3 linked regions of the Callithrix jacchus genome follow. The protein of the gene in region 1 interacts with the protein of each later gene in a pairwise test. Links are inferred from orthologs where the notes say so. Each region holds a gene or a part of one and is shown in the gene's direction. Other genes may lie near its edges.

Region 1 (3,634 bases):
TCTAAATCAACCCCGCCTCCAGCTGAGACCAGGCTGAAATGAGTGGACCCCTTGGACTGGCTACTGCTCTGGTGCCCTTCTTAATTATTTATTTGTTCTTTATGTTGTTTTAATATTTGATAACAATTCAGTGCAGTGGTTGAGTGATTCTGGGAGAAGATCATAAATGGCTGTGCCCTGATGCTGAAATCTGTGTGAAGCTGGGTGCCTTGGGAATTTCTCTGTGTTAGCTGACATGTACCTTTCAGGAGTATGTGTCTGAGATCACAGAACCTCAAACTAACAAACTTCCTTTGTAACTTCTAGACTGTGTACACCCCTCTTGAAAAACCTTTTACAGATAAAATGAAAAGGGGAAGGTATTGCATCATGTGTGCTATTTGGTGCAGACCCACCCTAGGGGAACCTCTGGCCAGAGAGCTGGTCTGGGGAAGGGATCTTGACTAGGACCAGGGAGGATCTTGTTTGCAGGCTGGTTACACTGACGCAGTATGTGCCGAATGCCAGGGGCTGGGACTCTGAGTCCAGCAGCTCCTACTGCAGATGACCACTGGTCTATTCACATACTGGGCATCTGAGGAATACCTGAACCTATGTTAAATGATTCTTCTTTGTCTCCTACCAAGGGACATAGTATCTGGAGAGGCAGCCATAGCAGGGAGCTTGTCACATGACTCTAGCTATGGCTGGAGCAGGAAGAACCCATTCTTCCAGCTCCAGCAGCAGAGTTCCCTCCCACCCAGCTTTCCCTGGAGTGAAGCTCTCATACCCTCAGCAGAGTAGAAGCCCCACAGTGGAGCAGGCCTGTCTCTTCTCAGCAGAGCTGATCCACCGTACATTGGAGGTTTTGCTCCTCTGATCCCCCAGCGCAAATGGTGGCTCTGCCATGCTGTGCTCTCCGTGAGCTATGCTGTGAGACATCTCGCTGGCACACAGGATCCTCTCACCATCCTGTTGCATCTCCAGTGATGTTTCAGTGCCTCTAGGAGGGCACCATGAATAACTAAGTGGCAGGCCCACCTGGCTTTAATCTCAGAGTGCCCCGGAACCAGGCGTGGAGGTTTAGATGGATTAAAGTTTATGGTTCTGTTTGGACTATGAGGCATCAGATATACATAGAAGCTGGTGACTTTCTAATACAAATGCCGTCGGGAACCAGGCAGGGAACACCAGTATATGGCAACAGGGCTAGAGAAGGAAGGAGCACAAGTAGCCTGAGCCCTCCCTACCTGAAGACATTCCAGGTACAACGTTTCTAAATGGCTGTGTGGAGGCAGCAGTCTTAGATCTCTTCACTAGGGGGATTAACAGAGCTGTAGCATAAAGACTGGGACCAGGGAAGATCTTGTTTGCAGGCAGGTTACACTGATGCTGTTTGAGCTGAGTGACAGGGGCTGGGGCTCTGTGTCCAGCAGCTCCTACTGCAGATGACCACTGTGGTCTATTCACATACTGGGCATCCTGAGGAATACCTGAATATACATTAAATGATGCTTCTTTGTTTCCTGCCAAGGGACATAGTATCTGGAGAGGCAGCCACAGCAGGGAGCTTTAGATTGTTATCCTGGCTTCCATGTGGACTCTGCTCCTTCTCAGAGCTTGCTGAGCCTGAAGCTGAGGTAGATGCTTGGCTGAGTGGAATGGCCACTGAGGGACCTTCAAGCCACGTTGTGGTCCTTGGTAAACTCTGTCCTTCTCAGGTGCTGATGCCTGATCACAGTGTGTTATACTGGCTCCTTCAGGGTCCTTGCATTTCAACAAAGGACATCTAAAGAGGGAAGTCTAAACTTACAGTAATGGCTGTCATGGGGAGTTCTAGGCCTCACCGCAGATCCCCAGGTGAAATCTTTTGAGGGAGGGGTGTTCCCACCTCTTTGGTCATCCAATGAGGATGCCGACCTGAAGGGCACACAGGGTTCTTATTTGTGACTATCAGAGGATCCTTTGGGGCCATGGTGTTCCTGTAGCTAGAGAATGCCAAGTTATAAGCATGGAGCTTAACCCAGGATTCACTTCCCTCTTCCTTTCCCTTTGAAATAATTTACATTGACTGCCCCCTGAAAACAAACAAACCCAACTTACAAAATACCTCTGTACTGAGAACCTGTGAGCAGAAGAAACTTAAGGCATCCATGAGTTCAAAGAAATGATTATGGGACGCACCTCTGTCCTACAGCATGAAAGAGCAAGCAGAGTCTACCAGGCCTCAGCAGGGCACAGTGCATCCTCTCCCGGCCTGATGAGAAGACATTTGAATAATCTCGTCATCAAAATAGTAACCATGAAGCAATAATAGCTATAAACCCCAAATTATAGAATTATAGAATTCCCCAAAAACATGGAAATTAAATCAGTTTTAGAATTCATTGTATCTCGAGGGAATAAATGAACAATTGGTTCTCCCATCTGTATCGAACAATGTTAGCCATTCCGTTGAACAAATGAAAATGAGCATATGTTGAATGAGCAGATTGATTCCTTTAACTAATATGAGCCACTTCTGTGTTTTGCATTTAACTGGAAGATACTTTTGGATTCCCTGAAATTCAGGTGGTCAGATCTGACAACTGATTTTTTTTTTTAATCCACGAAAACTCTGACCAATCTCTGCAAACACTTTTGATGTGAAAGTGCATTCTGAAGACAGGAGATAGGTCACTTTTCTTTGGGAGGTATTTGCATCGATGGTGAAGTCACTCAAAGAAGCAGCAATACTGAGAGAAGGATTAGAGAGGGCCTCTCGCCTCTGGAGTGCCCTTTCCACTTTTCTATTATCAGGTTTTAAGGTGGCCTCGCCTTTTCCTTCACAATGAAGGGAGAAAGCAAACTCTTGTATCCCTGCCTTGCTCTGTGCAGTCCTGTGATGTGAGGCTGAGCTGGAGGAGATCTCAGCAGCGGTATCTGGAGGTTTCATTATTCACATGTGTGCTGTGCTCTGCTTTCCCCACCGCAGGCCGAGTGCAGATGCTGCCCCAAGCGGTGTGCCTGCTGCATGCGCTGCTGGAGAACGGACACACCGTGTACGTGCACTGCAACGCCGGGGTGGGCCGCTCCACTGCAGCCGTCTGCGGCTGGCTCCAGTACGTGATGGGCTGGAATCTGAGGAAGGTGCAGTATTTCCTCCTGGCCAAGAGGCCGGCCGTCTACATTGATGAAGAGGCCTTGGCCCGGGCACAAGAAGATTTTTTCCAGAAATTTGGGAAGGTTCATTCCTCCCTTTGTAGCCTGTAGCTGGTCAGCCTGCTTCTGCTGCCTCCTGATTTCCCTGAGGAGCCTGGGGTGATGTTGCTCAAATGACCTAGAAACGAGGATTCTACCTGAACGGAAAGGACTGTGTGACTTCCCCCAAGCCAACCACGTCCACCGGGGGATGGCTTTCGATGATGCTTTGTTTTGGGGCTGTGTCTTTGAAATAGTGTACAAGAAAGCTGTGACTGACACACGAGAAGAAGCCTGAAGCAGTTAGGCTGTGCGTCAGACAGAAGTGTAATGCATGCAGTTTCTGCTGCCTGCAGGCGGAGAGGCCTTTGATTAACAGCACTGCATGTGTTGCATGATGGATCCATGACAGCGCTTTCCTGTTGAACTGAAACTCTTTGCCATGTAGAGGAAAACATCGGGAGCCATATGGATT
Region 2 (4,414 bases), on another chromosome or scaffold:
AATCATTCATTCATTCAACAAATGTTTATAGGAGTGTCCATAATGGCAGCGATGATGCACGTCCCTGCTCTGAAGGAGCTTAAACTCTAAGAGAGACCTTCCCACTCAATTTTTCTGCCTTCTCTATCGCATCAATCCATTACAAGATTTTCCATATATTCATACATATTACTTATTCTCTCTTTGTGAAATACTGTTGACCCATACCACAGATATCTGTTATTCCCCTCCCATTTTGAGCGGCCTGTTAAAAGTGCGCTGAATGGAAATTGGATATTTCTCTTTCCCATATCACCTGTCTCTGTAACATAAAAGAGATGTGACTATAGATATTTTCTTCCTGAAACTTTCCTGTATTTTTTCCACAATAACCATGTAAGCCTTTTTAGTTAGCTCACATCCGATGATAAATAAAATCACTCTCTCACATTTAATGAATTATACCACAATCAACAAGCTTGACTCATTTTAGATGTAGAAAATGTTCTTTAATATAACCCCCTTCCTTAGTCCTTTTTTCTTTCTGCTTTGTCCCTCTGGACAGGAAAAAGGAACCTTCTCAGTGGAATGCTTGGCCCCAAACTGCTCTCTGGAAAGTGGACCTGGATCTTTCTCACTCATTTCACCTGGTTAAGATTTACACCAAAGTCTGTGTGGGGTTTTGTGCTCAGAGCTACCCGGTGAGAGACACGAAGGCTTGCAGGGTTCTAAGGATGCAGAAAACGAGCTCCAGGCCTCGCTGGTGTTTCCGGCTTGCTTGGAAACAAAGCTGAAAGTCGGAGACTCTGTCTACAAATCTGTTCCCCAAGCGCCAGAGGCTGATTAAGGGCAGCTGCGGAAGTCATCACCGGGTATTAACTCTGGTTGCCCGTCTTCCTCTCCGGCGTTGGGTCCAGGAAGACAACAGCAGCGCCTCAAGTCCCCACCCTGCGGGGAATCTGTGGGCCTTTCGGGGCGGCAAAGCATTGTGGGTGATGCGGACAGGAGGCTGCTCCTCCACGCAGCGACGCTCCCGCGGTCTGGCCAAGGGTCTAGGTTGCAGTGAACCCGTCCAAAGTGTGGGCTAGCCGCGACGTTTACAATTAGCCCGGGGCCAGCTGCTGGCAATGCCGGTGTTTGCACCCCCGCTCCCCACGCCACAACCCAGAAATCTAAGGACACGCAGCATGCATTTTCCTTGTCCTCCGTTTGTGCAGACAGGGTCTGGGATCGATAGGCGCGCGGTCCAGGCAGACGTAAACAGACATTGATCAGACCTGTTTCGCGACTGCAGCGCACACGTGACGAGGCTCCCAGCCTTCCTTCGTCTCCGGCACCCGCGCGGCGAGGCCTGGCTGCGGCGCGCTGCGGCAGTGGAGCTGGAGGCGGCGGCGCGCAGCTCCACGGAGCTCTCAGGCCCGGCCCGGGCTGGCGGGGGCCCGCCTGCAGGTGGCGTCACGAGGGGCGGGGCGGAGGCTCTCTGGGAAGTTGCACCCGGTCGAGTTGCAGCCTCGTAAGTAACGCCACCGACCGGGAAAGTGGGAGGGGCCGCTCCCAGAACGCAGCCTTCTCGTAAGAACCTCCAAGGAAGCAAGAAAAAAAAAAAAAAAAAGAAAGAAAGAAAAAAAGAGGCGCTACCCTGAGTTCCCGGGAGGCTTCTGAAAGCTTCCACTAGAGAAGAGCTCGTCTCTTAAAATTTCTTAAACTGCAAGAAGCGGAGGACCCGGGCGAGGACTCCAGGGGCAAGGTGGCGAACAAGAGTAGGGCGCGCCGGGCCCCAGCGGTCCCCCGTAGGTTGCAGACACGGCGGACTCTCGGCGGCTTCTGAGCACGGAGGGAGCTGTCGCGGGGTCGGGAGGCATCCCCTCATCCCTGTCTCCCCATCTTCCGACGGCCGGCGGGGCCATGTCCAGAGGCCCGAGCTCCGCAGTTCTGCCGAGCGCCCTGGGATCCCGGAAGCTCGCCCCCCGGAGCCTCAGCTGCCTGTCGGACCTGGACAGCAACGTGGCTCTGGAGCCGCCGCACTGTAGGCCCCCGGGGAGCCCGGGCCGCGCGCCGCCACCCACGCCGGCGCCGTCGGGCTGCGACCCCCGCCTGCGGCCCATCATCCTGCGGCGAGCGCGCTCGCTGCCCAGCTCCCCCGAGCGCCGACAGAAGGCCGCGGGCGCGCCGGGCGCTGGGTGTCGGCCGGGCTGCAGCCGGCAGCTCCGCGTGCGCTTCGCTGACGCCCTGGGCTTGGAGCTGGCGCAGGTGAAGGTGTTCAACGCGGGAGACGACCCGTCGGTGCCGCTGCACGTGCTGTCGCGGCTTGCCATCAACTCGGACCTGTGCTGCAGCAGCCAAGACCTGGAGTTCACCCTGCAGTGTCTGGTGCCCGATTTCCCGCCGCCCGTCGAGGCCGCCGACTTTGGCGAGCGCCTGCGGCGGCAGCTGGTGTGCCTGGAGCGTGTCACTTGCTCGGACCTTGGCATCAGCGGTACGGTGCGCGTGTGCAACGTGGCCTTCGAGAAGCAGGTGGCGGTGCGCTACACTTTCTCGGGCTGGCGCAGCACCCACGAGGCGGTGGCGAGGTGGCGCGGGCCCGCGGGGACTGAGGGCGCAGAGGACGTCTTCACCTTCGGCTTCCCGGTGCCTCCCTTCCTGCTGGAGCTCGGCTCCCTCGTGCACTTCGCTGTGCGCTACCAAGTGGCTGGTGCCGAGTACTGGGACAACAACGGTGGCCAAGACTACAGCCTCACGTGTCGCAACCACGCGCTGCACATGCCTCGCGGGGAGTGTGAAGGGAGCTGGATCCACTTCATCTGAGCCGCGCGGGGCCACAGCCTGGAGCCTCCACACTTAAGCAACGCCTGCTGTCATTCATTTCCCTGCTGGGCCCTCACATCTATCTGGTTGTTCTTCGCCACCCTGCAAGTTCTCTGACCTCATTTTCTGCTGCGAGGTCCCCCGGCAGAGGCCCATCCTGTCTTCTGCTTGAAATGTCTGAGTCACTTGGTCTAAAAAGCAGCCTCAGGTGGCCGGAAGGCCGAGTTGACTTGTGTAATGAGTTGGGGCACGGTGGTGGGGTAGGTGCATGGGAGGGTGGGCCCTCTGGGGAGGCCCAAGCAGCTTGTTTTGGAAAGGCCCCCTCCTGCTAGGAAGAGCTTTTGCATGTGTCCTGAATGTGTCTCTGTAAACATAGCTGTTATTTATTATTGTGATGTTGGGACCTTTAGCTCATAGCGAATGCCTCCTCAGGAATATTCTCGATTTAATAAGCTAAAAAAAAGGTCTGTTGTGTGTTTGTGCCCACAGTAAACAATGTACAGTGTGACCCACATCATGGTCCCTCCAGGCATTCCTGCCCCACGACAAGGAAAACCTGAGACCACATCTGCTTGCCAATGGGCTGTAGCCTTCTAACAGTGGGAAACTATTAATAGGCAAGAAATTATCAGTCATCACACAACCATTCCTGGGCACTGAGACAGCCCTGGTGGGGCTGTGTGTCTCTTAGGTTAACAGCTGGGGAGGAGGGGAAAAGCTTCAAACTTAAACTAGCAAAACAGTTCTTTCTCTGCAGTCACAATTCTGATTTCATGTATTTCTCTGTTCAGGCCATTCTGTTTAAGTCTGAAACTTCCTAAACGTTTTAAGAAGTCTTGCCTTCGTTTTTTCAATTTTCAGGTGACTAGAGAATTTTAGGCAACAGTGCCCTTTTTGACCATTAAGGTGATTACCTTTTTGACCATTAAGGTGACTCTTTTTATTTCTTGTTAAGCATCAGAGGATGTCAGTATTTATCTTTTGGGAATCCAGTTAGAAGGTGGAACTAGAAGGTGTTTTCAGCAATAGCCAGAGCACTAGAGAAAAATAATTGATAAATATTTATACTTGTAAATTGTTTGGAGCTGTATTTACATATGTCATGTTTTATCAGGTACCCACAAACTTTATACTTTGTGCCTTCAAATAGGGTTTCTAACATGTTCTAGATTTGTCAGTTTTAAAATATTAAATTCTTTTTTGTTTTAAACCTTCAGCCAAGAAGTCAAGACCACTGTGCCCTCCTGGGTTAGGCAATCGCTTAAAACTCCAAAGAACTCCAGGCTGATGGTTCTTTTGGTGCTGAACAGTGGTCTCTCTGATTACAGGTGCTAGAACTAAGGTGTGAAAAAAAAAAAAGCCAAGAAGGATCAGATCTCCAGTTTGTGAAGTGTGTTTGTGATACAGTTGAAACCAGTGTGATCAATTTTATGATACTGTCACCAGGGAATTAATTCTAAACTTTTGAATGCTTGTTGGCATCTGTCAAATCAATACCGAAAGGACACATTTTGCCCTTTACCAATTTGGTTTTGATAATTGCAACCTTTGTGCTTGTCTAGTTCAAAGAACTGGGATCGCTTTCTTTGTTATCTTTTGATCTAAGAACACTGAATTTTGACTTCTCTAC
Region 3 (4,156 bases), on another chromosome or scaffold:
TACATTTATGTAGCTAGTGTCAATCCAAAGACCTTCCAGCTAGTTTTGGTTGAGCTAAGGGGGCTTGAAGACCTGCCATGAGTTAGACATTTCACAAATAAAACCCAGGCATGAAGTGCCTTTCCCAATGATATTCAGTGTGATCTTTTTTTTCTTCACTCTAATAACTCCACTTTAACAATTCCACTGTTTGACAGTTGTTTAAAAGACATAGGAATTTTTGTATATTTTAATTGACTAATGGATATCTCAGTAAAGCAGAACTAGGACATGGGAATAATTTAGACTTGACTTAGATAGACATTTAATTTTACGGTTGTAGATGATGATCTAAAAAAAATCCCCAAACTGAGCAAAATAATGAAACCTTAGCGAAAGTGACTGACTCAGAGGACTCATGAAACATACAGCGTGCTTTTTAAAATTGTATTTTAACATTTTGATTTCCATGCCACTCCCAGAGGACCTCAGAATTGAGTGAGGGGTTTGGGTTGACTGCTGCCTCTGACAGGCTCTATGGGTGAAAAGGGTCATTTCACTTTCGGCTTTAGTGTCCCTCTCAGGGGAGAAAATAGAATAGACAGAAATACAAAGTGTCTTTTAATTAATTCCACCTCTGTGTTTTCTGGGGCTCGTATGCTTTCCTAACGACATTTGTTAGATAAGTTGGTAATTCTTGGCAGCTGTCTACTGTGGGGTGCATCTGTGAACTCATCCTAACCAAAAGCATGCAACCAGTTTGGGGTCGCTCAGGCTAAGGTGAGGGAGAAACGCGGATACAGCGGGCAATGAACAACATAAACATTTCAAATGCGATACATACACATTCGGACTGAGCCACATCTTCTGTGTGTAGATTCAACTGCACTGACCTACAAAGCCATTCGCGAGTAACAGCCGCCCCAAGCCTGAGGCACTGGCGCCCCTCCTGGGCGAGCTGGCTGCGCTCTCTCCTGGCCCGCGCCCGCTGCATGCGGTACGTGCCTGTCCGGCCCCTGGCCCAGGGTTCCCGTTCCGCGGTTGGGTCCAGCTGGCCCGGGAGTCCCCGAACCTTCCCGGGACGCCCAGCTCGCGCTCTGCACGTCCGGCCCGGGGGCGATCACGTTCCCGGGCCGAGGGCCCGTGCCCTAGCTGGGCGCTGGTTGGTCGCGCCACGGGGTCCGAGGCCCGGCGATTGGTCCCAGGGATCGGGTCACGTGCTTCGGAGCGGATAAGTGCCGTCTCAGCGCCCGGCCTTCATTCCGTCCCAGCGATCGCCGCGGGGCAAGGCAGGTAGCTGGGGTTGAAATTTGTGCAGGCAGTGGGTGCTGGCTTTCACGGTCCGCTGCGCCTCTCTGCCTAATGAGCTGCACCAGGTAGGTTCGCTGCAACTCTGCGCGCCGGGAACACAAGGGGACGCGCAGTTGTGGGGAAGTTGAAGGGCGTTTCAGTTCTGTCATCTCTGGAAAGGGACACCCCAGGGGAGGACAAGTGGGCTGACTGCTTAGTTGAATCTGGCAACAGAGAGGCCTTGGAGGTATAGAAACTTGGCTCTATTTCTTAAGAAGAGCCTATTTTAGAAATAAGCAAATTAAAGCAGAAATGACCTTAACGTGAATCAGCTTGGGTTCGGATTTTCTCAGGGATGCGGCTGTTCTTTTGGTCCTGCACAAATGTGCCAAAGACTCGGGCAGCTAAAGTGGCGAGAACAGCACTCTGACATTGCTGGTTAGGTGGTTTAGCTTGGAGGAAAAAATTTACAGGACGATGTTTGTAGTCATTCATCCTTCTTATCACAGTTTGCCATAGCAAAATCTCAAGAGTTTGAGCAATTATTTTTAACTCTTGTCCAGGACTTAAAGTTCCAGGGAAATCACCCAATACTAAAACTGTCCTTCTATAAATGCAAAAAGTCAAAGAGAAAAAAAAACCTCCCATAAAATACTTTAAATAGCTTCTCCAGACATAGCTTAGCAGAAGACTTCTCTAAAAATCCTGCCTATTAACTATTATTAGACCCACAAATATAGCTTTAGCTTTCATTTGTTTGTTCTAAGTTTGCAAGTCTCCCAAAAAAACCCCAGAGCTAATACAGTAAATTCTGTGAGTGTTCTTTATTACTCATTTTTGTGATAATGACCACTTGCATACATGTTTAGAGCTGCTGTGAGGAGAGTTACTAAAGCCAGATTGAGAAATGTCATGTACAGTATACACACACCTCTTACGTGTAAGGCTAAGATGGGGGGAAAATCCTAATGCCATAAGCTTGGAAATATCTAATGAGGACTAAAGGCCAGAAAAAAAGTCTTCTTTATGAATGCTTCTTGGTTTAATATTGTTGAGCATGTTCATCTTTAAAAGTTTAAATAGCTTTATTGTCTTTCTACTTATAAATGCCTATTAGAAAATACCAAAAAAGAACAAAAATGAAAATAGATCATCTATAATCCTATCACCCAGAGATAATAATTATTATATTATTAGGAAAGACATATTTCCTATAGAGTTTTTCAATATTTACAAGTTCATATATATATATTGTATATCTTAAAACACTCCAACTTTCAGGTAATCAGTTTTTCCACTTAAATGTGGAATTGTCATGGGCATCTCTTTAGGTGAACTATCAATTACACACAGTTTTTAAGTGCATGAATTGTTGACTTGTATTTCAGTGGTTATTTGTGAAAAATGAGGAAGAGCATGATAAAATGCAAAGAGAATTCTTCGGCTTCTCTAGCCTTCTCACTGTCAAAACTGTTGCATGTTAATTTTATTTTTTTCAAGTGAATTACCAGAGAAGTGTCAATCAATTTAGCAGCAAAATAAACCAAAGCATCCAGAGGGAGCAGAGGGTCTGGAACTGTGGCTCCTGAACTTGTCTGGTTATTAGAATCACCTGGGAAGCTTTAAGAACATGTGCATCCCTTGGCCCTAGCCCCAGAAGTTCTGCTTCAGTGGTTCTAAGTCCCAGGATAAGGATAGAAAGAAGGAAGGAAAGGAAGGAATTCCCTAGGCATGAAGTCCCAGGAAAAGGAAGGAGGGAGGGAAGGAAGGGAGGAAGGGATTCCCTGAGGCATGAAGTCCCAGGAAAAGGAAGGAAGGAAGGAGGGAAGGAGGGAAAGAGGGAGGGAGGGAGGGAGGGAGGGAAGGAGGAGGGAACTTCCCTAGGCATGGTGACCAGACAGGTTTGAGGACCACACAATCATGTGCTCCAGAACAGAGCACATGATTCTTAAGACTGCCTTGGAGATCATCAAATAGAACACTTTTATTTCTCAGATGGGGAAACTGAGACCCCATTCCCCTCTAAGTGTTTTAAGCAATTAACACTTAGTCAGCCTTTAGCCAGCCAAAGGTAAAGGTAACCATAGAAAGAAGATCTGATCACTTAATACTGTTCTCTTTTACTACATATGACAGCACCTGCCTGATACTAGTGCACTGGCTGTCATTCAGCACAAAAATAGTACATATGCATTTGGCACTGGGGAAGAGCACTTCCGATCCAGGTGATAATCCCCCTTCCCTTTGCATTCCAGAATGATCCAGGTTTTAGATCCACGTCCTTTGACAAGTTCAGTCATGCCAGTGGATGTGGCTATGAGGCTTTGCTTGGCTCATTCACCGCCCGTGAAGAGTTTCCTGGGCCCTTACAATGACTTTCAACAAAGACATTTTGTGAATAAATTAAAGCCTCTGAAACCATGTCTCAACATAAAACAGGAAGCCAAATCACAGAACGACTGGAAGTGCTCGCACAACCAAGCCAAGAAGCGCGTTGTGTTTGCTGACTCCAAGGGCCTCTCTCTCACCGCGATCCATGTCTTCTCTGACATCCCAGAAGAACCAGCATGGGATCTCCAGTTTGATCTCTTGGACCTTAATGATATCTCCTCTGGCTTAAAACTCCATGAGGAGAAAAACTTGATTTTAGATTTCCCTCAGCCTTCAACTGATTACCTAAGTTTCCGGAACCACTTTCAGAAGAACTTTGTCTGTCTGGAGAACTGCTCTTTGCAAGAGCGAACAGTGACAGGGACTGTAAAAGTCAAAAACGTGAGCTTTGAGAAGAAAGTTCAGGTCCGTATCACTTTTGATTCTTGGAGAAACTACACTGACATGGACTGTGTCTACATGAAAAATGTGTATGGTGGCTCAGATAGTGATACCT

What was found.
Region 2: the proteins of EPM2A (region 1) and PPP1R3D interact in a two-hybrid assay, tested with the Homo sapiens proteins (2 studies listed by BioGRID, with this or other methods). The link is inferred for Callithrix jacchus from reciprocal best matches to the Homo sapiens genes EPM2A and PPP1R3D.
Region 3: the proteins of EPM2A (region 1) and PPP1R3C interact in binary tests that used the Homo sapiens proteins (3 or more experiments, as listed by UniProt). The link is inferred for Callithrix jacchus from reciprocal best matches to the Homo sapiens genes EPM2A and PPP1R3C.

Annotation. Positions count from the first base shown.
Region 1 is NC_133505.1:152,428,984-152,432,617, reverse strand, and holds part of EPM2A (laforin), read left to right. Parts: intron 1-2,953; coding exon 2,954-3,231; 3' UTR 3,232-3,634. UniProt on the Homo sapiens protein: Plays an important role in preventing glycogen hyperphosphorylation and the formation of insoluble aggregates, via its activity as glycogen phosphatase, and by promoting the ubiquitination of proteins involved in glycogen metabolism via its interaction with the E3 ubiquitin ligase NHLRC1/malin.
Region 2 is NC_133506.1:55,555,960-55,560,373, reverse strand, and holds the start of PPP1R3D (protein phosphatase 1 regulatory subunit 3D), read left to right. Parts: upstream 1-1,492; 5' UTR 1,493-1,884; coding exon 1,885-2,784; 3' UTR 2,785-4,414. UniProt on the Homo sapiens protein: Seems to act as a glycogen-targeting subunit for PP1. PP1 is essential for cell division, and participates in the regulation of glycogen metabolism, muscle contractility and protein synthesis.
Region 3 is NC_133513.1:84,419,190-84,423,345, reverse strand, and holds the start of PPP1R3C (protein phosphatase 1 regulatory subunit 3C), read left to right. Parts: upstream 1-1,238; 5' UTR 1,239-1,341; coding exon 1,342-1,355; intron 1,356-3,524; coding exon 3,525-4,156. Other genes in the region: uncharacterized protein LOC144578709, read right to left, coding at 824-973.